Linked DNA regions of Tribolium castaneum. The protein of the gene in region 4 binds, or shares a complex with, the protein of the main gene of each other region. Links are inferred from orthologs where the notes say so. Each region holds a gene or a part of one and is shown on either strand. Other genes may lie near its edges.

What was found.
Region 1: E3 SUMO-protein ligase RanBP2 (region 4) and Nup107 share a complex: the UniProt entries of both Drosophila melanogaster proteins name them as parts of the nuclear pore complex. The link is inferred for Tribolium castaneum from reciprocal best matches to the Drosophila melanogaster genes Nup358 and Nup107.
Region 2: E3 SUMO-protein ligase RanBP2 (region 4) and Nup160 share a complex: the UniProt entries of both Drosophila melanogaster proteins name them as parts of the nuclear pore complex. The link is inferred for Tribolium castaneum from reciprocal best matches to the Drosophila melanogaster genes Nup358 and Nup160.
Region 3: E3 SUMO-protein ligase RanBP2 (region 4) and Nup54 share a complex: the UniProt entries of both Drosophila melanogaster proteins name them as parts of the nuclear pore complex. The link is inferred for Tribolium castaneum from reciprocal best matches to the Drosophila melanogaster genes Nup358 and Nup54.
Region 5: E3 SUMO-protein ligase RanBP2 (region 4) and Nup153 share a complex: the UniProt entries of both Drosophila melanogaster proteins name them as parts of the nuclear pore complex. The link is inferred for Tribolium castaneum from reciprocal best matches to the Drosophila melanogaster genes Nup358 and Nup153.
Region 6: E3 SUMO-protein ligase RanBP2 (region 4) and PCID2 share a complex: the UniProt entries of both Drosophila melanogaster proteins name them as parts of the nuclear pore complex. The link is inferred for Tribolium castaneum from reciprocal best matches to the Drosophila melanogaster genes Nup358 and PCID2.
Region 7: E3 SUMO-protein ligase RanBP2 (region 4) and Nup214 share a complex: the UniProt entries of both Drosophila melanogaster proteins name them as parts of the nuclear pore complex. The link is inferred for Tribolium castaneum from reciprocal best matches to the Drosophila melanogaster genes Nup358 and Nup214.

Annotation. Positions count from the first base shown.
Region 1 is NC_087395.1:26,509,506-26,514,385, reverse strand, and holds the start of Nup107 (nuclear pore complex protein Nup107), read right to left. Parts: upstream 3,085-4,880; 5' UTR 2,995-3,084; coding exon 2,131-2,994; intron 2,081-2,130; coding exon 1,919-2,080; intron 1,679-1,918; coding exon 1,218-1,678; intron 942-1,217; coding exon 74-941; intron 1-73. Other genes in the region: sodium-coupled monocarboxylate transporter 1, read right to left, coding at 4,401-4,737, 4,798-4,880. UniProt on the Drosophila melanogaster protein: Plays a role in nuclear pore complex (NPC) assembly and maintenance. Required for nuclear import of Mad. Mediates the association between the nuclear pore complex and a subset of active chromatin regions adjacent to lamin-associated domains.
Region 2 is NC_087395.1:25,113,443-25,118,098, forward strand, and holds the start of Nup160 (nuclear pore complex protein Nup160 homolog), read right to left. Parts: upstream 3,368-4,656; 5' UTR 3,272-3,367; coding exon 3,187-3,271; intron 3,138-3,186; coding exon 2,715-3,137; intron 2,554-2,714; coding exon 2,364-2,553; intron 2,314-2,363; coding exon 1,968-2,313; intron 1,920-1,967; coding exon 1,668-1,919; intron 1,450-1,667; coding exon 1,086-1,449; intron 1,033-1,085; coding exon 860-1,032; intron 561-859; coding exon 175-560; intron 125-174; coding exon 1-124. Other genes in the region: uncharacterized protein LOC655733, read right to left, coding at 3,497-3,689, 3,744-3,876, 3,924-4,271, 4,384-4,414. UniProt on the Drosophila melanogaster protein: Functions as a component of the nuclear pore complex (NPC). Involved in poly(A)+ RNA transport. Required for nuclear import of Mad. May play a role in double strand break DNA repair. Essential for nephrocyte development.
Region 3 is NC_087397.1:2,066,477-2,071,400, forward strand, and holds the start of Nup54 (probable nucleoporin Nup54), read right to left. Parts: upstream 3,249-4,924; 5' UTR 3,149-3,248; coding exon 3,091-3,148; intron 2,635-3,090; exon of another isoform or gene 1,959-2,634; intron 1,909-1,958; exon of another isoform or gene 1,165-1,908; coding exon 424-1,164; intron 378-423; coding exon 1-377. Other genes in the region: sra (protein sarah), read left to right, coding at 3,645-3,837, 3,883-4,355. UniProt on the Drosophila melanogaster protein: Component of the nuclear pore complex (NPC), a complex required for the trafficking across the nuclear envelope. Essential for the nuclear import of nuclear localization signal (NLS)-containing proteins in an importin alpha/importin beta-dependent manner.
Region 4 is NC_087394.1:28,914,738-28,918,953, reverse strand, and holds part of E3 SUMO-protein ligase RanBP2, read right to left. Parts: coding exon 1-4,216. UniProt on the Drosophila melanogaster protein: E3 SUMO-protein ligase. Component of the nuclear pore complex (NPC), a complex required for trafficking across the nuclear envelope.
Region 5 is NC_087394.1:31,194,486-31,197,853, forward strand, and holds part of Nup153 (nuclear pore complex protein Nup153), read right to left. Parts: coding exon 47-3,368; intron 1-46. UniProt on the Drosophila melanogaster protein: Component of the nuclear pore complex (NPC), a complex required for the trafficking across the nuclear envelope. Functions as a scaffolding element in the nuclear phase of the NPC.
Region 6 is NC_087397.1:8,459,611-8,463,837, forward strand, and holds PCID2 (PCI domain-containing protein 2), read right to left. Parts: upstream 2,397-4,227; 5' UTR 2,242-2,396; intron 2,176-2,241; 5' UTR 2,164-2,175; coding exon 967-2,163; 3' UTR 878-966; downstream 1-877. UniProt on the Drosophila melanogaster protein: Required for the export of nuclear mRNAs and involved in mRNA trafficking in the cytoplasm.
Region 7 is NC_087398.1:6,200,891-6,205,226, reverse strand, and holds the end of Nup214 (nuclear pore complex protein Nup214), read left to right. Parts: coding exon 1-7; intron 8-56; coding exon 57-3,253; intron 3,254-3,301; coding exon 3,302-3,329; 3' UTR 3,330-3,391; downstream 3,392-4,336. Other genes in the region: ribosome biogenesis protein WDR12 homolog, read right to left, coding at 3,405-4,302. UniProt on the Drosophila melanogaster protein: Part of the nuclear pore complex. Serves as a docking site in the receptor-mediated import of substrates across the nuclear pore complex including emb, RanGAP and phosphorylated Mad. Protects mbo/Nup88 from proteasomal degradation at the nuclear pore.

The DNA.
Region 1 (4,880 bases), on a different chromosome or scaffold from region 4:
ATTGTTTAAAAAAATGTTTACATTATTTTTGTTACTTACTCTTATATTTTAATTAATAACATTTCTCACTTACCTTGTAAAGTCCGTATTTCTTGGCCGCCACTAAATCGGCCAACTGCACCGCTTCTTCGTGCAGTCCAGACTCATTTAAAACCGAATACAATAGTAAAACAATCTGAGGAATACAAATTGATCGCAGATACTCAGCATCGTCTCCTCCTTCAAGCCACCCTTCAGGAAACAAAAGGACATTATATAATAAAGTTTTGGCCCTTTTTGCTGAATGCGATGTCGTCAATTTCCACCGTTCCGCTTCGGCATTAAACTGCGAGACTTTATGATTATGAGCAACTTTTTCAGTAAATTGTGCATTTTCGGGCAGTTCAGGTGGTGGCATCGGCTTATTCCTATACTGTCTAAACCACTCGTTAAACGCCTCATGTGCATCCAAATACGCTTTATAACTCAAATAATTCTTAACAATCTGATGAATCTGCTCTTCGCTGCGTATCTTCTCTATAGAATCGTAAGGAATTTTATTGATTGCCAATTGGGCTGCTTCTAATTTGCCCAAAATCAGAAATTTGAAAATAATAGAATTGGTTTGAGCCAATGCTTCGGCTCGTTGCTCCTCGTAAAACATCAGCCAATCAATAGCGGAGATTTTGAGTTCGTCGATTTCGGTGATTTTACCTTGGAGATTACCGGGAAGTTCGGATTCAGACGGTCGGCTTGTTATAATTTCGACGATTTGTTGCGTTATAGCAAATACGTCCAAACTGAAATCTTCAGCGTAAGTAAGGGCGTTTTTGCGTTGCTCAGTCGAAAGCAGTTTTTCGCAGTGTTTGGCGTAAAGTTGGATTTGTTTGGATTTTCCCAGCTTGCTCACGTAGAAGGCCACAAGCTGGGTTTCGTTCATTTCGCTCAAACGCTCGATATATCTAATTAAACAAATGATATTAAAACACAAGCAACGCAGCGGTGAGTAGCAAACACTTTATGTTTTTTTATAGAAGCTCGAAGTCAAATAAAACAAAAAATAATACCGTAGCTATAAAAAAGTGGTAAAAATATTAAAAGCAATAATTTAGTTCTGACGAGATTATGGTCAACATTAAGAACATAAAATACACTAGACACAAATTTTTTTATAGTCACCATACCGGGAGACTAAAGCGCCCGGCCTTAAGTCGAGTTATACAACCAAGAAAACTTACGTTTCGACGATTTTTTCACACGTTTTTCTATGAGTGGAGTCTCCGACGCTTTCAAAAAACAAAACTAAGTGAGCATAAAATCGAAGAGATTGTGTCGTAACACTTAGATCTTCACTCCACTGATCTAGGAGGCGTATCAGTGTGGGAATTTCGTCTAAAATGACAAGTTTCTGAATTACATGATCAATTTCATGCGCTTCTTTTGCAATGTCAATATTTTTCGAGGCTTCCAAAATTGTAAAAATTTCACTTAATGATTTCTTTTGTTCCCAATATTCTTCAGGTAGTGGTATGTAGTTTTTAATGATTGAGTCGCGAATTTCCGATTCAACACGAATATCGACCATGGTTCGCATGTAGGCCCACAGGTGGTCCTCCCATGTGGTACAAACGGGCAAAATGCCCTCCAAGAAACCACAAAGACTACCAATGGCGGCTTTTTCATAAATGTTCAAGTTTGACTGAAATTTTTTAGTAGTTTTTTCAAATTTATAAAACAGCCTCCTTGATAGATACGAAACTTCGTCTTCAGTCCTAAATTTGGTTAATTATTTTCCAGAAATTTTAAATAAATAAACATAAAATAAATACATGTTTTACAACTGCCAAAGTGACATCGGTTTATCTAGTAACAATGGTATCAAAAAAAAAGATAGCGAAGTTCCCGAACTGTCAAAGAGGCTGTGGAACGAAAAACTTACCCTATGACAATAATCTAATGCGCAAGATTTCCACAAATCCCGCCTTTGGTTCCCTTCTACGTCTTTATACTCTTCAAGACTTGTTTCCAGGTTGGGATTATGAAAAAGCTTCCAGCCTTCTAACATCGCAGCGCGCCATGGATAACCACTGTTGTAACATAACTGAAATTTAATTATTGAATAAATAATAAAAGGCTGAAAACAGCACAAACTTCCTGGGCGCCCTCAAGGTTGCCGCACCTAATTTCCATAAAAATTCTCTGACATAGTTTTTTGTCATTGTCGTAATCCAAGTGGTGCAGCGATAAGCGCTGAAACTGTGGCGCATCTGGATGTATGTTCTTGATAATATCCACATTACTCCCAATTGCAATAGCATCAGGTGCTAGCAATTGATGCAAAGTGTGTTCCCATCCATACGTCCAGTCTGAGTGCATTAAAATGGGGTCCCCCTTCTCCAGAGCGTTCCTCTCGAGCCAATCGATCACCAACTGGCTTTCCCTAACCAAATTCTCTCGTTTGAACAGTTCGCACACACAGTTCTTTTCACTGCTCCCGAAATCCTCCTCAAACCCTTCCTTACTGTGGTTCTGGGCCTGGATCCGATCCTGGTACAGGACATACAGCAGTCTCCAATTATTCCGCTCATTTTCGAGCCATTTCTCTTCGGCTAATTCACTAGTGGCCACTTTGGCTTTCAGTGACTTAACCACCGCCAAAGCGTCACTACAACACCTCGCCAAGTCTTCGGCCACGTCCAGGATATCAAGGCCTCCGGTGGACCCCTGCAGGATATCCGCAAACTCTGTATATAAATTATTAACAGTGTTTTTCCATGGAGTTCCTGCTTGGATCACCGACCCGGTGACCGTTTTGTCATCATCGACAAATAAAGACAAGGTGTTTTGATAAACACTTCCATATTCCAGGCCGGTTAAGTCTTCGGGGTTTATTGTAAAGCTGAGGTTAGGTTTTTCACGCTTTGGAGTTGCGGTCGAGACCTTAAATAGCCCTTTTGTGGGGGTCTGGAGAGCGTCTTCGAGAAGACGCACCGACCGTTCCAAATCATTATCCATTTTTAATAAAAAACACACACAAAAAGCCGTTGCATAACCTCAAAAAACAAGTCTAGCGTTGCCTCAGAGCGTTGCAAAGTCCCTAGATTCAGGTTGGTAACAGTTTTTCTTTTCCTCGATCGTCATTTGTTTCAAATTATCGCGTCTGTTTGTGTTTATCGTGTTTTTTGTTCAAATTGAAGGAAAATTGGTGAAAAAAGTGTTGAATTACGTAACTTAATTAAGTTCAATTTATAAATTGTGGTAGGAAACACCGGTTTTTTTCAAAAATTTGTAAATCATGTGTGAATACTGAATTTGGAAAAATGATGTTACTTAGTGTTAAGTGTAATTTTTACATAATTTGGTGATTCCAGTGACAAAGTAAGGTAAGGTGCATGTTTTTTTAACAAAATTTAACATTATAGCACATTATTGGTACTATTTTCGGAAATTCAGTGAATTTGGTTGGCAACACTTTTTCCATTATCGCGTCTCTCGTGTGTGCCCGGATCTTTTTTGTCTACATTTATGAAAAATTTGTGAAAAAGTTACCTTAATTACGTTTTTTTTATAAATTGTGGAAAAAAAACACCAGTTTTTCCCCGGATATTCCTAAATTCAGTTACTGTGACAATCAGGATTTGGAAGAATGAAGTGTTAAGTGTTAGTTTAGAAGTTCAGTGTTAATTTGGAAGTTTCAAGCACAAAGTAAGGTAACTTGCATGTTTTTCAACAAAATATTAGATTATTGCACATTATTGTGGGCATTATTTTTGGAAATTGGTGAAAAAGCAAGTTTTCTTGAAAACTTGTAAAAAACATCACTTTCCAAATATTTGTCAATTCATTTGTGGTTAGGAAAAGTACATTTTAAGCACAAAGTGAGGTAAATTGTACGCTTTTCAACAAAAATTAGATTACTGCACATTAGTGGTATGTATTTGTATTTTCGGAAATTCATTGACTTAAGATTCTGGAAATATTGGGCGACTTTTCAGTACTTGGAGCGTTTTTTTTTGTCAATAACTTCGGTTGTAGGCATTTAAAGGAGGCAAAAATCCACAAAATTTTTTTTATTTATATTATATTTTCGTTGGTAGCTTAAACTCTTTGAACAAACACTACGCTTATTATTAATTAAATATTATTGTACTAAAATGTTGTAATAAATACTCGTTGTTAGCACTAGTCTAAGCTTACAAAAGAAAATAAATATTTCAACACGTACGCGTATCAAGTTGTACAATCTTATTCAATAATAACAATGTAATAAGGTATAAAAATAGTTAAGTAGTCTTTGCATAATTCAACAATCGAACACTTGTATCTTATCAGCTAGAGATCACAGATGTTGCCAAATAAAAGGCACTAAAAACACGAGTCCGTGTCCATTTCTCACATCCATCTCTAGGAAGAAAGAAAAATCATAATTTGGTTCTGTACACTTCCATTTGTACGTCTTGAGTGAAAGCGGGATTCGCATTTCCGCTCTTTTTATCCATACTGGTGGCACTTGGCGAATGGTTCATCGATTCATTTCTCCGTGTTTTATGTTTGATGGTTTTCTCTGCGTAGCGTCGTTTTTTGCCAGGGAAAAAGTTGGCCATCTTGCGAGCGATGGGATGAATTAATTCTTGATCGTACAAATCGCTTTCGCTACCCGTGAAATAGGATACTGTCCAACCGATGAGTATGGAAATGAAGCATCCGATGAGAGAGTAGTACATGTAGGTCACTGAATAGAGTTGAGTTAGAGGGTCCCTGTAAGGGAGAATTACATGTTGTGCAAAAAGGGTGATTTTCAAGGGAAATATTACGTACGAAGGTGCAGCTCGTGTGGTGTTGATGACGTCGAGGGAAAAGTTTCCCGTGTTATTATTGATGGGTGCGGAAGTTGTCGTCGT
Region 2 (4,656 bases), on a different chromosome or scaffold from region 4:
TGCCTCATACCCCCCTGTACTCCCCGCAAAAAGCTCCAACAACGAAATCGAGCTAATCGCATTCGTCCTGAGATTAAAAACAGGACTCAACCTCAACGACGACAGTCTCTGCAACGTCGACTCGCTAAAACCCCCAAATCATTATCCCTCCTGACTCAGTTAACTGTCGCTTACGTTGGCAAATACTGCAAAGCGGACAAACCCGACAGCCAAACCATCACGAAATTGGCCTGAGTCAAAACCACGATCTCGGGACTACAAACCGACCTAATCGCCTCTAAAACGTTCCAATCGAGTTCGCCTCGCTCGAGCAAAATGTTACTAATAAGCAAAAGACTGCGACAGATAGTGAACCGGACTTGGATCTGCTGTCGGAGACATCCTGTAACCATCGAAACACCCAACTGCGAGGTGAAAATGTGGTTTATTGAGGCTTGAACGCTGTCGATGGGCTCCTCTGGCTGGATTTGGTACTCGATTCGGAGCAATTCGAGGATTTTGTGGATGGATTGGTACAAATCGGTGCAATCGCGCACCATCTCGGCCACGTGCTCGGTGAACTAGAGCACAAATCGGGCGGTTTTTGCTTAACTATTTACGCGAGATCGAAAAAATACGCGAAAGCTCAAAAACTACAATAAATTGCAGTGCTTTAAATAATTTTAAAATTCTTCAAGAGTTTTCCGTAAATGATTTGAGCAGATATCAACAGAAGCAGCTGTCATTAAAATTTTCTGTGATATAAATATAAGAATGGTTCGCCAGGCGCCACGGTAAAAGTACCAGATAATAAATTGTAAAACGTTTTTTAGGGCTCAAAAGCCCCAGAATATTTTTTTAACATAAAAAAAGTACGAACCTCGGTGTCCATCTCGCGCTGGATCTGCTCAAGGAGAGCCCCCATGACGACATCAGGCGACTTCAGCAGTGCCAACTCTCGTTCGAACGTGTACGCGAAAATCTCACTCATCTGCGAATCCAAATAATTAATGACCTTGAACAAACTGATCACGTCGTCTGTGATATCAACATCTGCAAAAAATGAACCAATCACAATTGATTAATTAACTGTGCGGTTTAATTACTCTCAGACAAGAGGAAATATTTGGTGAATTGGTCCCTAAACATGTGGTCGCTTTCGTAGATGAAATGTTCAAAAATATCGAGAGGTCGCAAAAACGAAATCATGGATTTTTTCAAAAGTACGGCCCCGGAGGAGTTTGGAAGAACAAGGAGGCCTAAAGGTTTAAGTCCAGCGACGTGGTATTGGACGCAACAGGAGTAGAATTGTTGCCAGCAGTAGCTGGCGGTTTCGAGATAATCTTCGTCGCTGACGACGGTTTCCTTCAGCTCGTTTTGGACCTCGTCTTCGACGGCCATGCAGATCTGCTGCTTGAGATGGGCCGCCGAGAGGTTCAAGTCGCTGATGACGGCCGAGCGTTTGTAAATCTATAATAAGCAGTTGGTGTGACAAAAAACGCGCAATAATTTTTATGTATATTTTTTAAATAAAAGGTTTGAAAAGCAACAATTTGTTATTTTGTCGGGTCGCCAGGAGTCACATTAATTGTGCCTCAACCAAATAAGAAACTAAGAGGTTTAGAGAAAAACAAATGGCACATTTTCGAAAAATACAGTAAAAAAATCAGCTTGACTTGAAAACTTACGTTCAAAGCCTTGCTGATTATATGCAAGGGGAACCTGCCCGGGTGGAAGATGTGCTGGAGGTAGCTCTGCCTGGGATCCGTCTCCCCGTCGATGCTCAACGGTTGGCTGGCGTCTGGCACATTTTCCAGAACCACGGGAATCCAGTGACTCCCCGCCTGGTTCGAGGCCGAATACACCTCACATTGGCCCTCTTTTCCGCGCCAAACCGACCAAATCCGACTTGTCGAGATCGTAAAATCGATCAAATCGGTCTAAAACCCCAAACTTACCCCCTATCACTTATCCCACCTACGACTCACCTGAGCCAAATCAAGTATATTAAGCCTCACTAGCCGAACCTGCGAGCCACTGAGCATCGGCTTGAACACATGCAACTGACTCTTGGCTGCGAAACTCATGAAAATACCCAACAGACACTCAGAATCAAACCCATCGACGGCTTTCCGCAGGATGTGGTTCTGAGCGCCTTGCAGCTGGTTTCTGGCGCCGGTTTCGGCCATGACGTCGATCACTGAGACACATTCGGCCTTTGAGCACGACCAGAATTTCAAATGACCGTTGCGGCAAAGTGTCAAAGCGAAAGTTTCAAGACCGAAAGTATGTAAAATGAGGCTGACGGTAGTGTCGCCTTCTTTGTCTTTTTGGCTGCAAAAAAACCGTCAGTTTTCCGGGCCGGAAAAAATGAAGGGTTGTACCGCAGCTTGTCGGCGAGACCTGAGAGAAAGCGGGGCACGATTGACTCGCTTTTTAGCTCAGCTGAGTCGATTTTGCCCTCGGGGGACTGTCTCAGAAGGAGGATCTCGCCGGAGTGGTAGGCCAACACGAAAATTGCTTCCTCCTCAGCGAGGGTCAGGGAAGAGGCGGCCAGATATGGCAGCTGAGAACCTTTAAATAAGGGTTCATCTAGTCATGAGAAGTCCAATATTTTAAATAATCATGCAAACGTATCTAATTTTGCCATTTGGCAAACCTATTTAAAAAAAATTATGATTTGCTCGTTACGACACTCGTCTCCGGCTCGTGACTTAAAAAATTACAAGACCTACTCGAATTGGTGAAAAAGTGGAATGTGGCGGGATCCCTCGCCTCGTTGGCCGTAGCTTCGCTGAACACCGACGGCGCCGCCAGATCTGGGTGAACCCCCGCGACATGGTCCTGCCGGTGGTACTTATCCGGATGCGGAAACACCAACCTATGGACGCTGCACACCGTGGGCACCAGAACCACCACATTATCGTACGTCTCATGGATGGAAACCCCGTCCAAAATCGGGGTGTCCACAAATTTGTATCTGATGCGATTTCCGGCGAGATTTATATCGAGACTGTGCTCCACGAGCTCCAGGACATCGTGGCTAATCCTCCAGTAGATAAACCGATTCCTGGTGTGGTGTCTGGTCGAGTCGCGGTAACAAAACCCGTTGGCCCTTTCCGCGACTTTGATATCTTGAAGCGTCCCTTGTGTCCCCCCTGTTACATAACCTCAGTTTTACGTAATCGGCGATTTTTGTGATATTACCCGTGTTGAGGGTGATTTCGCGCCAGGGATCGGACACCGTCTGGTCGGGGATCACCTCCCGGTACCCCAACGCGATTTCTTGCATGGTTTTAGCCCGTTTTAACGGTTTTTTGTGCAAAAGTTAGGTTAGGTTTACGGAAACAAAAAATCAAGGTCGGCGAGTGGCGGTTAGATAATTTTCAAACTCAGGTTAACTCGCCACCAGAGGGCGCGGGGTCAGAAAATAAGACAAAATTCTACTTATTTATTTATTTATCGTACATTTATAACAAAAATAACATTTATAATACGTGGAGGGATAATATAATAACTATGAGAATAGCTTGGTTGAAGTGAATGATGCTAGGAGGAGTAGAACGCTGCTGAAGCCAATGGAAATAGCTGAGTTACAGGGTTTGCGAATTGCTTGGAAAAATCGGTTGTTTAACGACTCAAAAGCGGCGAAATCGGGACAACTACGGGCTATCGCCTCACTGAAGCACTTCTTGGACGCTTTTAAGTCACTAGAATCAGAAGAAAGATGAAAAAGTTGGGTTTGTAATCATGGGGGCACCTACAGGCACAGGTCGTCTTTCCGGACCACGTCGCTAAACCGAGCGAATAGTTTAGTAAAGCAGTTTCCAACTTGTTGCCCCTCTTGGTTGAGTTTCAAGTTTTGGCGGCAATCTGCCCCTTGGGTACTGAAGAAATCTGTATTTTCCTTGATAAAAAATAGTTTTCAAAATTTTAAATCTTACTTTCGATGGTTCTTTGGGAACACACAAAGTCGAGAAATGAGGTGAAGCTTTCAACCATGAACTTGGGCAAATACTTCTCGTCTTTGGGCAAACACGGTTTGACATCATGGGCAAGCTGGGCGGCTAGACGGGCCAGTGTGGGCCTTTCGTCGTTGCAGAACTGCTCCTTACCATTGGGCAATAAACTCGCAGCGTACGAAAGATAATCGCCAAATTGCCCCAAATGGGTCTTTATATCATCGTAAGCCGAAGCGTCTGTGCTATAAACCCGACACCTATCATAGATAAACCTGGAGATTTTGTCAGAGGAGTTCCCCTGCTGGCCCGCCACACTCGCCAAAACAAGCCCTGAAAAGTTTCGGTCAAATATTGCGTAATTTCGAGTGGGCTTGGGTCAAAACAAACGAACCCATGTGTCACATTTTCCAAGCCAACCATGACCTACAAACAAAAATCTCACCTGCAACAACGAGGAAACTTGTAATTTTCATGACCAATCCTGGAAATTGACCTTTTGAAGTGTGCACTGCGGATTATTTATACAGACGCTAGAACGTCACGCGACCTTCTATTTCTCTTCAAACCAACATTTTAATGAAAAGGAACAAGTGCAATATGTGCAGAAAAATATAAACTCGCGGAACCCATTTTGTTGACGCGATGAATTGGGGGCTGCATAAAAATGACCGATTCGTCATCGGTCAACGAAAATCCGCGCACTTTTCGAGGAAAT
Region 3 (4,924 bases), on a different chromosome or scaffold from region 4:
GTGCTGGATGGTGACCTTGAGGTTGGGTTTGTTACCCAAAATGCCACTAAGTCCATTGATTAGAACTTGCTTTTGTGAACTAAGCTCGGCATATTTCCGGTTAAAAATCAACTTGACTATACCTTCCGTGTTATCATGTTCGGGAATTATGTTATAACCGACTGCTTTGAACCGATAAAACGGGTTATGAACTGTGTATTCAACCGGCGGTTGATTCGCACTGTAGTACCCTTTCCCCGTACCCCAACAAGCTTGCAACAAATTCCACTTTTTCAAAATATCATCCCTCTCATCATTATAAATATTAATAGCGTAAATCGATTGGATCACAAGTTGGTTTTGTTGTTGCTGTGTTGTGAGCGCATTTTGCGCAAACCCTACACAAAAATTACAGGTTCCTGTAATTGCTAGTCGGGTACTTACCTGGAGGTTGTGCCGGCTTGGCCCCAAACCCGCCCCCAAACAAACTCCCTTGTGTCTGTTGACCGAACCCTCCACTAGTCCCAAAACCCCCAAACCCCCCTGTTGTTTGCGTAGCCCCAAACCCCCCAAACAACGACGGCGCACTCGTCGTAGTAGTACCCCCGAATAAACCAAACCCTCCCCCTGTTGTACTCCCCCCAAACAGCCCCCCCGAAGTGGTGGCCGTGCCCCCGAACGAAGTCCCGAATAAACTCGGGGCCGAAGTTGTCGCAGTACCGAACAAACTCGGAGCTGGGGTACTGCCAGCTCCGAATAAACTAGGAGTCGAGGTGGTGACCCCCCCGAAAAGACTTGGGGCTTGTGTGGTGGTACCGCTCCCGAATAAACTGGGGGCCGAACTAGGGGTCGAAAATAACGAGGTTGAAGTGGTGGGAGTTCCGAAAAGGGTTGGTTTGGTTGTGGAAGTACCGAAAAGGCCGCCGCCGGTCGATTGACCGAAGCCGGTACCGAATGTCGGGGCTGAGGTTGATGCTGGGGCTCCGAAAGTCGAACCAAATGCTGGAGTGGAAGTTGCAGGAGTACCGAAAGTACTACCGAAACCTGAAGATTGAGCTGGGGCTCCGAAAGTTGAGCCGAAACCGGTCGACGGCTGCGAAGTGGCTCCGAAGGAAGAGCCGAAACTGCCGAAGCCGGTACTAGCCGTGGTGGTGGTTACCCCAAATGGGGTACCGAATGCGGTGGCTGTGGATAAACATTGGAAAAACATAAAACTATGACTAGGTGTTTACAAAAATTAATAAATAATCTAAGACGATAAGAAGTGTGCGTTTTAATTCAGGAAAAATCGAATAAATTGAATAAATTCAGCGAAATTTGTAGTTTTCCAAAGGAAATGGCTACGAAACCACAATCCTGAAATTATTTATTTTTCTATTTGGGTTGTTTCAACGAAAAGAAAAGAATTTCCATGAAAAAAGTATTTGTTACGGGGAAATGACCAAACGGAAACTACTCCTCGGTAAAAAATGCAAGTCAAACTTGAACTATGCGAATACTTATCGTGCAAAAAATACGCTGTTGTTAAGACTTAAATTTATGCAAAAACGAAATAAACACGAAATAAATGAAATTATTTCAATCCTTCAAGTGTCATTCCAGTCAAATTTTTTAAAAAGAATTTAAACACGTAGATAATTTCAAAACAAGTTTTTTTCGACTGCAGTGCCGCTTTCCCAATTTGTTATCACAAAATGACGGATTTTATTTATCCCAACCACAAGAAATTGCATTAAACAGCATTTTGTGACTCATCCCCGGGTTGTTATTTTACTGCGAATGGAAGGAAAGCAGGAAAACCGTGTTCGCACATATAAACACCAGCGATAAAAATTCAAAGCGTGGAAAGAAACTTTCAGTCGCCGATAAGTTCTTGCAGAGTTAAGTGTTTTTCCTTCGCTAATAAAAAGCACAATGTCGGGCCCTACGGTGAGTTTAATTTTTATTTTTCAAGTTGGATTTAAAAATTCCGATTCTAGCTATTCTCATTTCCTATCAAAGGGGCTACTAAAAGTTTTGGAACGACCCTTCAAGTCACAGACGATCAAAACGTACTCAAAATTGGGCAGAGTTTCACTCCCCCAGCTACTACCCTCATCAGCGAAATAACCAACAGTACGGTTACTGCAGAAACTGCTACCACTCCTGAGATTTCTCAAAATATTACAACAACGATTACCACCGTGATAACCGAAGTGACCGACAGTACGACCGAAACAATCGGTATTTTTGAAAACAACATCACTTCAGCAGTGGCCGAAATAAAAAACAGTACACAAAATACAACTTCAACCCCACTTGACGTATTTTCTTCAACTACGGATGTTTCGAACCAAATATATTACGAAGGATACGACGTTGAGGGAAAAACTTTGTACGTTGTTTTGGGAGTTATAATCGTCAGTCTGCTCTTAATTATCGTCATTCTTATCGTCGTTTATAAGCGATATAAAGCCAGCCGTTCAGGATCGCTTGATTGTGCAACCGATTTGAGCCAAGTTACCATCTCAAACGGAAGAATGAAATCGTATTAATTATATTTGTGATAATCTGTTATATTTTACTATCATTATATTTTTGTTACTCGCTTAGGTAGGTTTATTTATATCCTCAAAATGTTATTGCCGAAATAAATTCTTGGTTTATAAATTATAATCTAGGTTTTTTATTGAACACGTCCAGTTTTTCATGTTTTATCAGTTAAGTAATGAAATTACTTTTGTGTACTGTGCAGCACAGACGTGACAAAAAATTTAAGTTAAACACTAAACAAAACATTTTTTAGCGATTTGTTTCAAACAAAAATTGTTGAATTGTTACTCACACGTTAACAATCATCACAATTAAATTTTATAACCATTTAAAACACCAATTAACATTTTATCTGTAAAAAGTGTGGTGATTTGTATTGTTGAGTCTGAATGGTACAAAACGCTGCCACTTTTTCGATTTTTTCTGGTTAAAAATTAAGAACACAAACATTAGTCAGGCGTTTTGGGCAAAATTAAATCTCATTAATTACGGTTTAAAGGGAAAATAAATAAAACCGTGAATACCAAATAACAAAATAGAAAGAACTTAACCTAACTTTCTTACGGTTCTAAAACTTACGTTTATTTGCCGGGCTTCCAAAAGTCGACTGGTTTGCATTTCCGAACGAAAATGCCATAACTGCATTAAATTTAACGTTAGTATTTATATAAAAATAGTAATTACAATTTTTTATGTATTCACAAATTGAACTTAACGAATTGACAGAACTGTCAAACTTCAAACCTAGGTTATACACCGGCAATTTCACAAAATTTCAGCGTTTTCTGTACAAAAAAATACGAAATCAAAAAGTCGCTCATGTGTTTATGTTAATTATCTGGAAATCTATCCATTTCAGGGTTTTACGTTTTTTTAAGCTCATTCCTTTGTATTTCAATTCGGGCTGGCGAACTTTCGGCTTTCATCCCCTTGTCAAGTGTCATTCATTCCTGACATTTGGCATTTGCAATTGTTGGGTTGTGTTTTTTGCACTTTGATATTGCAATGTTTTTGTGTTAAAATTTAGTAGCGTAAGAGTTAGCCTTGATTAGTTTAGCCGAAAAAGTGCGCATTGTTTTATGGGGTTTAAACCGCGGTAGATCCTGTGTCGGTGAATTTAATCCAATTTTTCAATGGCTGAAAGCAACGGCGAAATGGACGACGATATCATCATTAACGACCAAGACGGCCTTCCCAACGTGCACCCCAACCTGCTGGCGGAGGCCGACATCGACAGCCCCGAGCATGTGACCGACGACGAGTTCGAGGACCTGCCGACGTCCCTCATCGTCACCAACATCCACGACAGTGTCTTCACCTCGCCCGGTAATCCGCCCCCAGCCCTCACCCGATCTGACCGTAAAATTGCAGAGAAAAAGCGCGAAATGGAGAACCTGTTCCGGAACTTCGACCCGGACGTGACATTCCAGTGGCTGCGCAGTTTCCGAAGACTGAGAGTGAACTTCCAGACGCCCGTGGCAGCCGCCAGCGCCCGCATTCAGCTCCACCAATACAAAATCAACGACTCAGTGATTACGTGTTACTTTGCTCAACCCGTCACCCCCGTCAAAAACCCCAGCCTGCAGCCGCCAGCCCCCTTCAAGCAGTTCCTAATCTCGCCGCCGGCGTCGCCCCCCCTCGACTGGGAGCCCCGGCCGGAAGGTGAGCCCATTATCAATCATGACCTTCTTGCAGCTTTGGCCACCCTCACGCCGGGGGCGTCGCACGAGGTGCACCCCCCCTCCCCCGGCCAGCCCAGCATCGTGGTGCACACGGCCCTGGGGGCGGACGGCGTGGGGGCCAAAGGCAGGATGCCACAGACGTCGTGTCCGGAACGGAGTTAATGATTTGTACAGGTCTTCAAGGTTATTTTAAGTGTGAGCTTCAGAGCCTCTCAATATGTCAATTTCTCTCTATGTAGAATCTGTCACTCATTTATTATGGAATTACGTGATTCATTTGTTGGTTGTAACTGTATCATTAATTTAACTCAATGTGATAATAAAGGTGTTGCTAATAAAAGATAATTTCCTAAAGTACTCAGCGGGAATTTGAGACAGGTTGGCCCTGAGTTTAATGCCATCAGCTGGCAACTTCAAACAGGAATCTGTAATTATTTATTGAAGAAAACAGCAACCAATTTTATATTCAACCTAGATTCAAGCAATTGATTATGAAATTGGGGTGGAAAAAATTATCAGAAGTACTCAGTTTAGAAGAAATTTTCTTTTTGTAATTACAAAACTCGAGAACTTCCTTTGTATGTTTATTAATGACAACGAATTTAAATGTTTAGTTCATGCTAGTCTTTAGTCTGTGATTTTTTCTCTTTTCACCAGATTATTTATAAATAGTTTCGTATATTGTTTATTTTTTGCTTACAATCTTTACACGAGTTACGAAATTCGGTAAC
Region 4 (4,216 bases):
TTTAGGTGTCTCGCAAGCCACACAGTAGTTGGCTTTGCCGTCGTTCACAACGAAGCAATTTTTACACTCCCAACTTCCCTTCGCCGGTTTGAACTTATCGCCGAAACCGGTCGGTTTAACCGGAGATTCGATTTTCGGGGTTTTACCCGACACGCAGTTATTTTCATCGAGTGACTCTTGAGCGGTTTGGATGGCTTTCAAGAACGAATTAGCCAGCTCTTCTGTTTTGAATCTTATAGCCAGCGTTTCCGGTTTAAGGACGCCTTCAGAGAAGTCTTTCGCGCACCAAGTCAGTGCTTTGGGATTATTTGTCATGAATTTAAATTCCATGTTTTTGAGTAGTTGGTGGTTACAACACACTTTCAAGACTTGGTCTCGCCTCATGACTAGTCTGATGGTTGTTGCGTCCTTAAGCAGTTTGAAAACACCAACTCCTTTCTCCTTCCATACTTTCGTTTCTTCACTCGTGTCAAAACGGAGGATTTTCGCTCGGCTCTCAAACAAGACTTCGCAATTTTCTTCGCCAGTTTTGACTTCGACTAATTCGGGCAAAGGCACGACTGGTTTGAACTCAGCCGTTGGAACAAACTCTTCAGTCTCATCATCGACCGGTTCCTTAGCTTTGCCACCTGGGCTTTCACTTTGTTTCTGAACTGGTGAAAAGTTAGTTTGGAACGTGGGAAAACTCGTGTTTTTCGTAGAACCGAACACAAAGTTCGAGAAAGGACTAGCTTTAACCGGCTCCTCTTTCATAACAGGTATGACAACTTTCTCCTCCTTGGGCTTAAAAGTCGGCGTGCTCGTGAAAACAAAACCACCAAGAGAGGCGGGTTTTGGCGCCGCCTCTTTACTTTCCTCGGTGTCTAACCCCTTTTTGGCCGCTTCAAACACATCGTAAAACTTCTTCGCTTCTTCGGACGTCTTAAACCTCACACACAACTTCTCCAACACGACTTCTTCATCGGCGTAATCGTGCGCCGCCCAAATGTACGCCCTGTCACACTTGGCATTCGGAGTCAGCGCCATTTCTTTCGTAATAAAATGATTGGCACATATCTTATGCACTTGATCTCTGCGCATCAAAATGCGAACTTTCTTCGTTTCCGGGTTCTTCAAAATCTTCAAAGTGCCCACACCGCGTTCCTTCCACTCCTTAGTCTCGGTGACGTACCGGAACAACCTAGCGCGTTCGCAGAACAACACCACATCGTTTTCCTCGCCGGTCACAACCGGAACTTCGTCCGGAAGCGGAATAATCGGCTTAAAATCGGGACACGGGTCGTGTTCTTCAAGCGAACTCGTCGAAACGTTGCTCTTATTCAACGACTCGTTCTTGCTCGCATTGTAACTCTGTTCGAGGGTTTTTTCGATTTGCAAGCCCAGACTGACATTGACCGGGGTTTTATCCGACACGGCGGAGTAAACCGGCGGTGCGACATTCGACAAAATACTCTGAGTTGAAATGGCCGGCGGTGGTTTACTCAAAACTGACGGCGAGGTGTTGGGGGCTGTGGTGGTCGGGAGGGGAATTTGGTAATTGTGAGGTTGGCTTTTGGGGACGTTGCCTTTCAAATGTTGGGGCGGAATGGTGACTGAAAGGATGGGTTGGGTGGTCGTAACCTTGGGTGTGGGCAAGGGATCAGAGGCTGTAATAACAACATTCACAGGAGGGGCTTTCGTTGTGGGTGTCGTTGTGACGGTAACACCTCCAATCGTCGGGAAAACACTCTGACTGGTGGCTGGCGTGGTCTTAAATAATGGGTTAGGGGTGGAAATCCCTTGCGCCTGAGCCGTGAGTAGGTTAAGGCCAGTTTGGGGTGTAGTTTGGCCGTAGGTTACTGCAGGTTGTTGCACTTGTGACAAGGCGGCGGAAATCGCGCGGAAGTCCTGCCCGGAAATTCCCGGAATTTGTTCCTGAGGGAACGGCAACGCACCGCCCTGGGGCAAGCCTAGACCGCCGTAGGCGTACGCCATGGGCGGGTACATGCCCGGGTATAAGGGCGGAGGGCCATAGAGCGACGTTCCGGGCATTCTCGCCTGATAGTTCTGGTAGAAATTCGAATTGTAAGCCGCCAAGTTCGAATTTAAGTTGTACTCAGCACCGTATTCGTTCGCCAAGCCATAGATATCCTCATCACTTAACTGTCCAGTCTTGTTAACTTCTTTCCTCAACTCCGTCAGTTCCTTCTTCATTTCGTAGACCATGTCGGTGATGTTCTTAAAACTGTCCAATTCGTCCACAGACGCCTTCAATTCGTTCACCGACTTTTTCACGTCTTTCAACTCCTCGTAACTGTGTTTCACCGTCTTAAGTTCATCGACAGTCACCGTGAGGTTATTAACAGCGTCTTTGAAACTTCTCAACTCATCTACTAGGGTTTTGTGCGACTCCATCATCATTTTATTGTGTTCTAGAATATGGTTAATGGCAGCGTCTTTCGACGCTGTTAGCTGTCTCAATTGGGCATCGAGTCGTTCAGGGCTCGGTTTGGCCTCACGTTTGAAAAGATCGGACCGGTAAGGAGTGGAATGATTGTGATTTTCCGCCCTTGGTGTAAAAACCCCGTTAAAGTAACTTGAAGTATTGCCAGTGTATCCCGTTACGTAGTGATCACCGGTGCTATCAGGCGATGAGACGTTTTCGTCCGACATCCCATCACACTCATTCCTGTTGGTACAGTCCGGGTCAATTCTAGACAACAAGCGCTCGATTTTCTCAATCTCAGTCCCCAACTGTTCGTTTAAGGGGTGCTTCTGATCGACTGACGGTTCCCTAAGCCGATCCAGCGTCAAGTAGAGACAATCCCTAGCACGCGAGAGCAGGATTATATTCTGACTGCGCATCTCCGAAGTCACACTCTCCCGATTCTGACTCGTTTGTTGATCAGCCATGTGTTTGTAGATCTGAGCCTGGTAAAAACTCGCATACGGGTCTCTCAAAGTTTCGAAAATGCGCAACGCTTTTTCGTTCTCCTTCTTCTTCATGAGTTGGCAACCGCTGAATAATTTCGCGGCCTCGATATGGGCACAAATCTCAGTCAAAGGCATGTCTTTCGACTTGTAATTGAACAGTTTATTAGGGGGGTACGAAACCGCTTGATTGTTCTTCATTTTTTCCAAAATCGGTAACGCCGCTTTGTAGTACAGCTCGGCTCGCGCCTCGTTAAACTCAATCTCGGACTGTTTTGTCGTGTTTTTGGACCGTTCGGCGAATGTCTGTGCCAGTGTCACTAGAAGCTTGACGTCTAAACTGTTATCCACACACCGGAGAATTTTTATTCCGTCCACCAAAGTCAGTCTCAGTTGATCCAAACCGGAGTCGTATTCATTCTTGTACATTTTGTAGGCCGCCTTGAAGAAAATATTTTGGTTGTGAGTGCCCAACTCTTGCGTCACGGCGGCCGGAAGTACGTTAGGTTTGTCGAGATTGTAGTACGAAATGTGGCGCAGATTTTCCTGATTGTATTTGGAACACAAGGTGGCGCAGTAAATAAACGCCTGGACGTCCAACACGTTCAGAGTTTCGGCGCCGCAATTTTTCAGGTTCTTGATCGAGTATTGCAAACCTTCGAACACTGTGCATTTCAAATCGGATAGTTTGTTATTCAGTGCGATCCAAATGTGGTGGTGTAAAGAGTCGGGGAATATCAACTGTGCCTCTTCGTCGTATTTAAGCAATTCGCCACTTTCCGGCAACCTTATTGTGATTTCTAGTAGTTTTTGGTCGCTCAAAAAGTAACTTGTTTTCATTTTCAGTTGTTGGTCACGTGTGACGAACAATTTTTTAAACAATTGCTCTCGCCACATGCCCACTGAATACTGGTTGGCTTTCTCGATGAGTATCGACTTCCGGTCTTTGGCAGCCGCTTGTAAAACATGCCCGGCTTGTGAACACCTGAACGCGGCTTCCTTTCGCCACCTCCGTACCAAATTTCTGCGATTTTCAGGCGCGTGGTTGAACCACATGCTTTGTAGATCGGGTGGCTGTGAGTGATAAGCCGCGAAAAGTAGCGGTAGAGTGATATTTGCGGCTTCCTTGTACTTAATAAGATCTTTTTGTGCTTGTTTAAACACCAAAGTGACGAAATGGAAGCACAACTGCGCGCTGTGGTGATTCAGAAATTCTTGAATGAGGTGTTTGTCGGGACAATCGCCGATGTTGAGAGCAGCTTTTGTCAAAGTTTGGTCAAAGTTAAATATTGCATTGATGTATTCG
Region 5 (3,368 bases), about 2.3 Mb from region 4:
AACAATAAATTAAAAAAAAATCACCATCACAAAACAATTAACTTACGGTCGGTGCTCCGAAATTAAACCCCGGCTGACTCTGTCCCTGACTGGGAAAACTGGGCTGACTCGGCGGCGGATTAGTCTGATTAGCCCCAAAACTAAACACCGCTTTCTGATTGTTATTATTCGCATTTGTCCCAAAATTGAAACTCCCATTCTTGGCCGCTGGTCCCGCCGTCCCGAAAACACTCCCCCCGGCATTAAACGGCTGACTCTCCACTTTGGGCGCACCACCAAAGTTAAACCCGGCACTAGGCACCGAGAAGCTAAACCCTGTATTTGGCGCACTTGACGCCCCTGCTGCTGCACTCCCAAAATTGAAAACGGGCGTCGTATTCGGTTTCTCGGCCTGACCGAACGAAAAACCCGCATTTTTGGGGGCACTTTCGAACGCAAACGGCTTGCTTTCGCTCGTCCCGAAGCTCTGGGACGCCCCAAAGGCTGGAATTTTCGGAACCGAACCGAAGCCATTGGTTACGTTATTGTCAGCGGGCTCGTCGAAAGCCCGCTTGGTCGAAAGTTGGTTTGGCGAGGCGGTGGCACCACCGAATTTGAAAATGCCGGCTGCTGGGGCCGCCGATGGCAGACTCGGGGCGCTCTCGGGGGGTTTTGGCGTGAAAGTGAAAGTGGGTGTTGCTGAGGGACCCGCGAATATGTTACTGCTTTCGGTGGGTTTGGTGCCGAATAGCACCTCCTTCGGTTTGTTGGCGTCGCCTCCAAAGAGGGTTTCTTGCGGCTTGTTTGTGTCCACAGTGGTGAATAACCCGGCTTGGGGTTTATTCGGTTCGGTGGTGCTTCCGAAAATTGATTCTTTTGGTTTGTTGGCATCGGTGTTGCCGAAGAGAGAACTTGAGGGTTTGTTCACGTTGCCGAAAAGTGAGTCTTTCGGCTTACTGGCGCTGCCGAACGGTGAGTCGCTCGGTTTACTTGCACTTCCGAATGGGAGATCTGCAGGTTTGTTACTGACAAAGGGTGATTCGGTTGGCTTGCTGGGGGTACCAAAGGGTGACTCTTGGGGCTTGCTAGCGGCGGTAGCAAATGGGGAACTTTGCGTCTTACTCCCGAAAGGTGAGTCTTGATTCTTCGGTTCGGCACTGAAAGGACTCTCCTTAACCGGTTCGGTGGCCAACACCGGTTTGTCCTTATTTTCGCTACCAAACTTGATATCGCCGTTCACAGCCGGGGGTTTGAACTGGAACATGGGAGCCGGTTTCGTTCCGAAACTGCTCGTAGTAGTCGGCGTTTCCGTTTTATTAGTACTATCACTACTACTCGTCACTACAGACTCCTGAGTCTTATCAAGGCCAAATTTGAAACCAACCGGCGCAGGCGTTGCTTTCTCCGGCAATTTCTCGCTAGGTTTAAGTAAGGGATTACTGGCGACGGTCACGTTCTCACTTGAGGTAACAGTATTTGTTGGCGTAACTTTTTCCTGAGTATTTATTCCGAAACTAAAACTACTACTTGTTACTGCAGTCGACTTCGCAGCATCGCCGAATGCAAATGTAGGTGGCGCACTTGTAGTACTAGCTTTTAGTTCGCTACTAGTGCTCGGTATACCAAACTTGAATTGGGGTGCGTTTGATTTATCTATACCGAAGTTGAACCCAATTAAAGGTTTCTTTTCCCCGGTCGTCACATCCGAGGATTTCCCACCAGATTTGGCAACTCCACAACAAACACAAACATTATCTGTGGGTTTATTCTTGACAAGACACGAAGAACACTCCCATTCTCCTCCTTTCATCTTGAAAGCGTCTCCAAAACCTTTTTTCTCCGTTTCACTCTCTCTGGGCATCTCACAGGCTGCACACTGCGTCAGTTCGTTCTTATTCTTAATCAGGCATGTTTTGCACTCCCACTCTTGTTTGATACCGAAGGAGAATATCGGTGCTGTCATGGGTTTCACACTCGTAGGCTTGGCACCTGGTTTAGGGGTCTCACAAGCCGCACATTTATCCACCGTATTTTTGTTTCTAATCATGCAAGTAGCACACTCCCAGGTGTCTCCCGATGGCTTGAACTTGTCTCCAAAACTACCACTGGGCGTCTTGGATGCACCACAGGCTGCACAACTCTCCAGTTCGTTCTTATTCCTAATTAGACAAGACGTGCACTCCCAGGTCGATGCAGGCGGTTTGAAGGCATCTCCAAATCCGGATTTAGCCACCGGTTTGTCTTCTCCTGCTTTGGAAGAGCCACAAGCCACGCAAGTTTTATCCGAATTGTTATTCCGCACCATGCACGAGTTGCATTCCCACTTGTCACTCGACATTTTAAATTGTTCGCCAAACCCTTTCGTTTCCTTCTTTTCGGGCTGAGGTTTGGGCTCATCACAGGCACAACATTTGTCTTTGTCGATGTCGTTTCGGACGAGACAAGTCGGACATTCCCATCTTTGTGACGGCGGCTTTTTCAGCACATCCATTACGCTTCCTGTTGATAATTGACTAGCCGGTTTTGCGATACTTGGGACATTTTCGCCGTTGTTTTTTGGTTTAATTTCGCTCTTGCTTTCGGCCGATTTAAACATGAGTCCTGTGTGCGTTGATTGTTTCTTACATACCGGTTCGCTGAATTTGAAACAATTGATCGCAGTTACAGACTTTAAGTCTTTTGAAATCACTAACGGTTCGGAAAATGTGAAACTGGACTTTCCATTTTCCACGATTTTCTTCTCAGTCTCTTTTTTATCTACAATCACCGTGGGTTTAATTACAGTACTAACCGGGGATTTGGGAGTTTTAGTTTCGTTTTGATTCTTGGTGGTTTCGCTTGAATTGCTGGGTGGCATTAAAACGAAATCGAACTTAGGTAAGGTGCTTATTGGGAGTGAAACTTTCGGCAATTTCACCTCACTGACTGGCTCAATAGGTGGCACTTTTTGCCGCACCGAGGCCACGCTGCTCTTCATTTTATTGCTATGTTTCTGCTTGTTGTCCTCCTCCGTCCTGATTTTATACTCTTCCTTATTCAGCGACGACTTCGACTTTGTGGCAATTTGTCTAACAGTCTCTGTGCTATTTTGTAGTCGCTCCTTTTGCTTCATCTGCAATAAATCAGGAACGGACGGTACTTGGAGCTCCTTATTCGAAGGCCGTTTCCGGTCTCTCACTAGATAAGGAGTTGCCCCGACATAAGACGACAGCAATCCTGGTCTTCTCGGCGTGACTGGTATTTTTTTAGCGTCGCTTATTGGAGTGCTGTATTGTTCTAAAGTGCTCAGAATTCTACGTGCGGTCTTACTTAAGGTCGCATTTTCGCTTGGAGGTTTTTCGTTTACGGGTTTTATTTGTACAGAGACTCTAGAATTCGTTTCTTCGCTA
Region 6 (4,227 bases), on a different chromosome or scaffold from region 4:
ATAGTTCATTAATTAAATAAATTAAATTTATCATGAATTCCATATTTGTTTTTATAATAACATGTTTTCACTAAATCGGACTAAAAAAGCAAATAAAAATAAATTGAGTTTATCATTACATCATTACATTATTTTGCATTTTCAAGCTGTCAGTACAAAACGTAATTTTTTAGCAATTAATATTCAAATGAATTAAACAATACAGAAATACAAATTTTATTGCATTTTCCGGCGTTTATTAAATACGTTTTTTGAGAAGAATTATTAAATTAGGTAAAATGAAATTTTTGTGGAAATATTGATTTGTAAAAAAATTATTTAATCATAGAATGGATTAACAACTATATAATAGTGACATTTTGTTTGGAAATAATTTATAATAAAAAACTAAATAGTTTTTGACTATGATAAAATTTCCATATAAAATGTATGAGTTTAATTTTCGGGTAACAAAGTTACCTATGGGAAAATAAATCCTTTTGTGCAAAATTTCGCAATATGTAATATAATATTTACAGTACATTTAAAGGATGTATTCGGTATTAACTTCGTATCTATTATGTAAAGCTTAAACGAATATTTTTTACCTATATGGGCATAATCATTAGGTGATTTAATATGCATTATTGATTTTCAAAACGATTCGTATCGAGATTAAATCTGAGCAATTTAAAAAAAAACAACTGTAGTTGTGACCTCTTCGAATAACAAAAGCAATTTTTAATAAAATAAAAATTCCATAAACATTTTTAATGCGGTTTTTATTATGCATACAACATTTAGCTTTTTTCTTATGACAGCAGGGTCGCTTAGTCACTTCGCAGTATAGAGATTTATAGACGTTACGTTTATGCTTTAATAAAACACAAAAAACGGGTAGTTTTAACAGTTTATTTCATATGCAATTACAAAATAGTTACAATGCAGGTAGAGAACGACGAATTATACAAACTTATAAAAACTTAATTATGATAGACTTGTAAGTGGCGGAAATGGATTCTGTTTACTAACAACAACCTTCCTATGTTGATGCGAAATGTATCCTTTAATTTTCCCTTCATAAATAAGATTAGCAACAATACATTCTGTTTCATCCAAATCAACATCAGTCTGTCCTAAATACACTAAAGCAGTCTGCAGTGCTTCAATAGGGATTTGATGCGTATTTAGAATCAAATACACCTTTTTAAACAAATTTCTATATGCTATGATTTTCAGTTTATCAACAATCAGATATATTCCACACTTGATGAAAAAGGTTTCGTGCTTTTCCATAATCTCGTCAAACGCTTTGAGATTACCCTGACATACAGCTTGTACTAAATCCCACAACTGGATGACGTCATACTTCTCCAGAACCTCCTTGCTTGGGATATACCCCAACAACATTTTCACAGGAACTAAGTAAATCAATATAAGCGTTTTGTTCTTCTTACTGAGCTTGTGACAATTTTCAAAAGCATAAGTTAAATACTCATCGGCGACTTTATAATCGCTATCAAACATAGCCTTGCGCCCCACAAAATACCGATATGTGATTTGTTGGCTCAGAGAAAAACTCTCTTTAAACGGTGATGACTCAATCGCTCTGATTAAGGGCTTGCACAAATGTAGCTTATTTATCCGAAAATAAACCTTAAACAATTGATTCACCAAAGCCAACATCCCTATCCTCTTTGTATCCTCCTCTGCTGACCTATTATCAGCAGCACACACCCTGAAACAACCCATCAAGCATTCTGCTGCCTTCTCGAGCATTTCGCCGGGCTTCTCATTAATTCCGCTCCTCTGATTCTCGGCTAATTGCGCCAAAAGACGCAAGTCTAAGCACAAGACATACATAATAGGCAAAGACCAATTCTCCTCCTTTTGCGATTGCAAGATCTTAGTGAAAGTTTGCGTCAAATTGCTCTGAATGTTATAAGCCGATAGATAGTCACTCTGGCTTATGGCAAACAGGCATTTTAGGTGCAAAATCACTAATTCGTCGATAGGGGCGGTCAAAAAACGCTCAACTATTCCCTCAGGACTCTCAATGTGGTAATTGGCATAACCTGCATGTTCGTGGCGAAGAGACAGAAAACTGGCCACTTTTGCACCGTCCTGAGACCGCCAATACCTTTCCACAAGTTGTAGGTAATGAGCAACGGACATAAAAGTCATTTTGCTGAAAAACTAAGGTTAGGGGCGTCAGTTAACCGAAACCGCTTCATTTATAAATGAAATTGAACTGTTACTCACGTGATTTAGGCACAAGTGTTATATTTGTTGCTTCCGTTACGCAAAGAACATTATGTCTTACGAGTTTGACGAAAAAATGTTTGAATAAGCTTGAAAATAAACAAGTCTTTGCAATGGTGATAAAATGGCCGATAGGGAGCGGTGCGATTCATACAAGTAAAATCAATAATAATTTCTGTGACCTAACAAAATTTAAGATATTTGAGCTTAATTCGTGTTATATGTCCCATAGTACTAATAATAGGGATTAAATTAATGCAAATCCTGGAAGTAAAATGCCATAAAAACGAAAACTGTTCGTAGACCAGTTCGCAAGCCGCATGTTTTCTTCCCACACAGAGATGGCGCTCCGAGGAACAGCTTGATGCAACTTGACCGGGAACTTATCCAACTTGATTTTATTAAAAAATTTTTAGGAAATTATAAACACAGTCGTGAAAACGTTTTATTATTCTAGTCAAGGATAAATCATAATTTAAAAATCCATTACACAGGAAAGTAATAACTTCAACAATAATGAATTTAAAGCGCCTAGTAATGGAATTTATGGAAAGAAATTATTTACTTCTTTGCTATTTTAAACTTTAATAATGCTTCACGTGCCAGACCCATAAATCAGTATAATAAGCAATTTAAACGTTAATTGTAGTTTACTTTTAGCTCCTTATGAAACAAAAAAATTAAGTACTGTTTATTAGAAACTAAAGCTACACATTACGAACTTAAAAGTATTTGTTTGTATAGTGCTACTTAAAAAACAAAACCATATTTTACAAAAAAAAACTTATAAGTATAAGTAGGTAGACGACGTTTAAATTACAAACAAGTTATGTTTTAAATGATGACCGTACAAAAGCATATAAAAGGTTTTTATGTTCATCTATAAAATTTAAAAACAAATTTTACAGGGTGTCCCAGCAAAAGTATATTTTTACTGCATGACAAGCTAAATAATTACACAGAATTCCAAATTTGCTTTAAATACTTTTAGTATGCCTTATTATGTACCATAAAAAGTTATTTTTTCTATATCTACATTTTATAATTTTAAAATAAAACAATATAAAAAAGCAATATTCTATATCTTGAATGTCTGTGTGATTAATGATTATGATAGTTTGAGAAATGCAACGTAATTATTAACAACTTAAAAAAGAATCAAAAATAAAGAACTATTTAACAGAATTGACACGTTTACTGAAATATGATTCTGATGTAATTTTTTTAGCTGAATTTAAATCCGAAAGTTTTTTTTTTGATTTGGAATAGCCTTCACTGTAAAAAAGACGTTTATGTAAAAAAATTCAAAAATTAATATAAAGCAAATTTGTGTTCACATCTTCATTTCCTCATATTTTTCTTCTGAGTAAAGCTAGAAACTTGAAAATATTTTTAGGCGAACAGAGGGCTCACATCCATATCTAAATTCTGTAAATATTTTATGTAAATATTTTTCCATTTAATGTTCAATAGTAGTGCACTTAATCAACTCGTATTGCATTAAGTTGGTTTGGACTAGTTGATTTCGTTCCGTTTATAAACTATGAAAAATCGAGCCTTCTTTAGATGATTCAGAGCACAATAAAAATCAATTTGTTGAAGTCTGATAAGAATTTGCACTAGACATGCAGTCTGGAGCAGTCCAACACGATAGAAATTTAAACAAACTGGGTCAATCAGTTCGCATCCTTGTAGTCGTAACTTCATTTTATTCAACTGCGAGTAAATAAATTCTTTTGTAGAACGAAACAATTATAAAATTTTGTAGCTCACTGCCAAGGCAAATAGCACACGCAAAAAGCCAAGATCATGTTTCCCCGTTAATTAACACGAAATTCCGCATGCAAATTCGTTGCATAACATGACTTAACGCGTATTATTACACGTTTTGGGACCATTGATAAAAACTGAACGTCAGTTTAATTTGTGATCAATTGATTAATTCTCTAGCATGCTGTTTAGGCAATGTTTACTACATGCTGACCA
Region 7 (4,336 bases), on a different chromosome or scaffold from region 4:
AAAACAAGTAAGGCAGTTGATTGACTTGTAGGTTTCGTTAATTATTTCGTTCGTAGAGTTATATTTTGAAAGATATAGCCAGTAGGATTAAAAAAAAGTCGCGATCGGCCGTTGGTCCTTCTCTCCTTGTTCCTTTTGATGATGTTAAAGACCTGTCCGAGGATTTGAAACGTTTGAGGATGAACCCTGAAGACATCAGCCAACTTCAGTATGAACACGTCATAAATCGAACGAAAAATTTCACGAAAAAGAAAGTCCAAGATTTGCGGACTTTTCTCCAAAAAAGAGAATATCCACATATTTCATTCGTGAAGCCTCAATTGGCCAGTTCCGTAATCCAAACTCCGCCAAAACAACTTAGTCGGCTTCCCGAAAAAACTTCAGTTGCACCTCGGGTTCTCGATTTTGCGCAGTCAACTCCCAAACCCACTGTGCTCAAATTCGACTCCACGGCAACTCCAATCGAAGGTTTACAAAATTTAGCCCTTAAATTCGAGGCTAAAAATTTCACAAATTTGCCCGAGAAAACTTTCACGCCTTTGACTAAAAACGTGATTGCTGGGTCTCCAAATTCGGCTTTTGTCTCAACTTCGGTTTCTGCATCAGCAAATACTTACAAACCCACCTTCATGGCTGCAACTACAGCCGTGACAGCGTCTATTATTAAAACAAGTCCCAGTTTTGTGGCAGTGACTAGTACTGCAACCATGCAAGCACCTAAATCGTTTGTTAATTTGTCTTCCCAACCAGTTACTAGCAGTACCCCAAAGGTGGGGACAAACCTCTTTGCCACATCTTTGCCTAAAACTACATTTTCGTTCAGTTTACAAACTACTAGTGCGGCGCCCATTTTAACAAGTAGTGCAGCGACTACCAAACCCAGTACGTCTATTTCTGTTTTTAATCTATCCACGAGTGTTAGTACTACCGCGGAAAGTACGATTTTTACGAAAACTTCTACTCCGTCATTTGGTATTGCTACCACCACAGCACCAACCTCCACCCAGTTTTCGTTCGGTGGCGCTACTAATACTTCAAGTATTTTCGGTGCAGCAACACAAAAAGTGACCGAAGCTGCGACATCGAAAACCTTTACGTTTTCTACAAAGCCAGTAGTTACTTCTGCAACAAGTACTCCAAATGTGGTGGTTTCTGCCGTTTCCCCCGTTGCTAGCAGTACCCAACGTTCAATTTTCCCTACGACTTCTGTAACAACCAGTCCTAAAACAACGCAAGCTGTCTCGAGTCCAGTCTCAATCCAACCCACTTTTGGTGTAACAGCTCCAAATTCAGTTAGTACTACCAGTGGCACTCCATCAACTCAGTCCTCACCGTTTTCATTGGGGGCACTTAAATCATCTATTTTTCCCTCACCGGCTGTTCCTGCCGTAACTACAACACCGAAAATCGCCACCAGTGCGGCCACTGTTGTTACTACAGCTGTTACAACTACCGGTGTTACAGCTCCTGTTGTTACAACAGTCCCATCTTCAACTAGTATTTTCTCAACGCCAGCAACAACTCCATCAATTTTCGCTTCGCCAGCAACAACTTCAACAATTTTCTCTTCGCCAGCAACAACGTCATCAATTTTCTCTTCGCCAGCAACAACTTCATCAATTTTCTCTTCGCCAGCGACAACTTCATCAATTTTCGGCTCTATTGTTAGTAGTACTACTCAGTCTCCAACCATATCTTCAGCTCCGCCCACAACTGGGTTTTTCGGTGGTGCTCTTTCAACTAAACCACTCTTTGGTGGTACCGAAGTTAGCGCCTCGAAACCGTCAATATTTAGCAGCACAACTGCATCAAGTGTTTTTGGGGCTGTTGCAACCACGGATTCAAACGTTTCGAAACCATCCATCTTCGGAGCCCTGCCATCATCCTCCACTACAGCTTCTGTCTTTGGTACTGTTGCAAGTACCGATAGTAATGTATCAAAGCCGTCAATTTTTGGCAATGTTTCGTCAAGTACTTCACCAGCGACTGTTTTTGGCGCTACCACACCTACCACTCAGATTTTTGGTGGTGCTACCCCTTTGTCTACTAGTTCATTTGGGGCTGCAGCTACGACACAATCGTCAATTTTCGGCTCTCCCACTACCCCAGTTTTTGGAACTCCTGTTGGTACCACTCAGTCGACTTTTGCCAGTCCTACAACGACAACTCAATCTCAAGGGTTCGGTCTTTTTGGAGACGCCGCCCAAAAGCCTTCCCTATTTAATGCAAAACCAAATGCGACTCAACCGTCAATATTCGGAAGCACACAGCCGTCGATATTTGGTGGTACCACAACTTCTTCAACGTTCGGCCAAAGCCAGCCCTTCGATGGGAGCAAAAATACAAGCGCTTTTGGTCAAGGTTCTGTTTTTGGTTCGTCAGGTAGTACGAACGTTTTCGGGGGTTCAGCACCCGCTTTTGGCCAAACGGGTGGTTCCGTCTTTGGAAATGCACCAACTACGAGCTCTGGGAGCATTTTTGGGGCAACGACTACAAGCGGAGGTACTTTCGGTACTAGTGGATCTTTATTCGGAGCACCTGCGTCCACTGCCCCCTCACTTTTTGGGGCACCTGCATCTACGACTCCCTCTATTTTCGGTTCGTCGAATGTCTTCGCCCCTGCCACTACTCAGTCCGGTACTTTCGGCACCAATACCAGTTCCGGAACGTTCGGTTTCGGAAGTCTCAATGTTTCAACGACTGCAAGTTCGGGTTTCGGTGCACCTGCGAACCCCTTCGGGGGCGATAAGAGCGTTTTCGGAGCCTCTCCAGTGTCGTCAAGTGGCTCAGTTTTCGGTTCCAGTGGTGGATCGCTCTTCAGTAACACGTCCCAGAGTTTTGGTACCGGTTTCGGGAACCAATCTTCCTTCGGCCAACAGTCGTCCTTCTTCGGGGGTAGCAGTTTCGGTCAGCAACCTGCGGGGCCCTTCAGTGGTGGGAGTGGAACTGTGGGACAAACCGGGTTTGGGGCAGGTCAGAGCTTCCAAAAACCGGGATTTGGGGCAGCTCCCGTTTTCGGGGGATCGCCCAGTTTCGGGAGTTCGCCTAGTTTTGGAGGAGCGCCGGCGTTTGGCAGCCCACCGGCTTTTGGGAATACTTCAAAGGTGTTTGGGTCCTCAAGCCCCGGGTTTGGGGCAGCTGCTAGTACCCAGAACACAGCTTTTGGTAATTTAGCCAATCAACCAACAGTAGGGTTTGGGAATTTGGCACAGCAAGCTGCCAACGCCCCAGCGCAGAGTGCGCCGTTCTCTGGGTAAGAATTTTTAAACTGATAAATGGCATAGTACATTTTTTTTTGTAGGAGCTCCTCATTCTCCAGTTGGCGTTAATGAAGGAAAATGTTTTACGTTAAATTTTGTAAGCTGAAACTAATAAATTTTTTTAAAATTAATTTTATTTTTCACTTAAAACACATAATTATTTCTGAAAATGTGTACACTATTGTCGCACCCTCCAGAGACCAGATACTTGTTATTGGACCAATCTACAGCTAGGACTTGCCCTTGGTGTCCCTCTAAATTATAAAGTGGGGCTTTAGGGCTTCTGGAATCCCACAATTTGACACCAGAATCGTATCCTCCCGACATAAAAAGGTGTTCATCGTATTTTGACCATTCAATTGAACTGACCCATAGCGTATGTGAGGTGAAAGTAGTCTTGACCACTGAACCCTCTGAAGACCTTGGGTCGTACAACCGAATATGTCTATCAGCTGAACATGCTAATAATGTGTTAGATAGGGAAGACCAAGAAGAATCCAAAAATGCCTTCTGGCCAACTATTTCATTCTTGATACCACACAACTCAGCATCCCAAAATTTAATCGTATGGTCCATTGACACAGTGCAAATTACATGGTTGTCAATCCAGGAAGTCGAAGTTATGGTTTCTTTATGGCCTTTTAATGTGTGAATGGGGGTCCTGGTAATCAGATTTTTGTCTCCTCTTACTTTTTTGTGTGCAGGTTCGTCGTCACTTTCAAACGATGAGGACCAAATCTTTAGGTTTGTGTCCCATCCTCCTGTTGCAATTTTAAGACAGTTGGGACTAACCCCCACACTGTCTATCCCTTTTTCATGACCTTTTAACACAACTTGAGGTTTTATCTGATCTGTCCCAGGCTCCCACTGCCACAGCAGTCCCGTAAGATCATGAGAAACACTTATGAAACCTTGTGAGGGATTGGTTTGGTTTATCCATGCCACTTTTTTTACAATATTTTTATGTTCTTTTTGCGATGTAACAAGTTTTCCATGCGTTGTCCATATGTTCACAGAGTAGTCGTAACATCCAGTTAAAATCCTAAAAACATTATTATTATTCACAATCGTTCGTT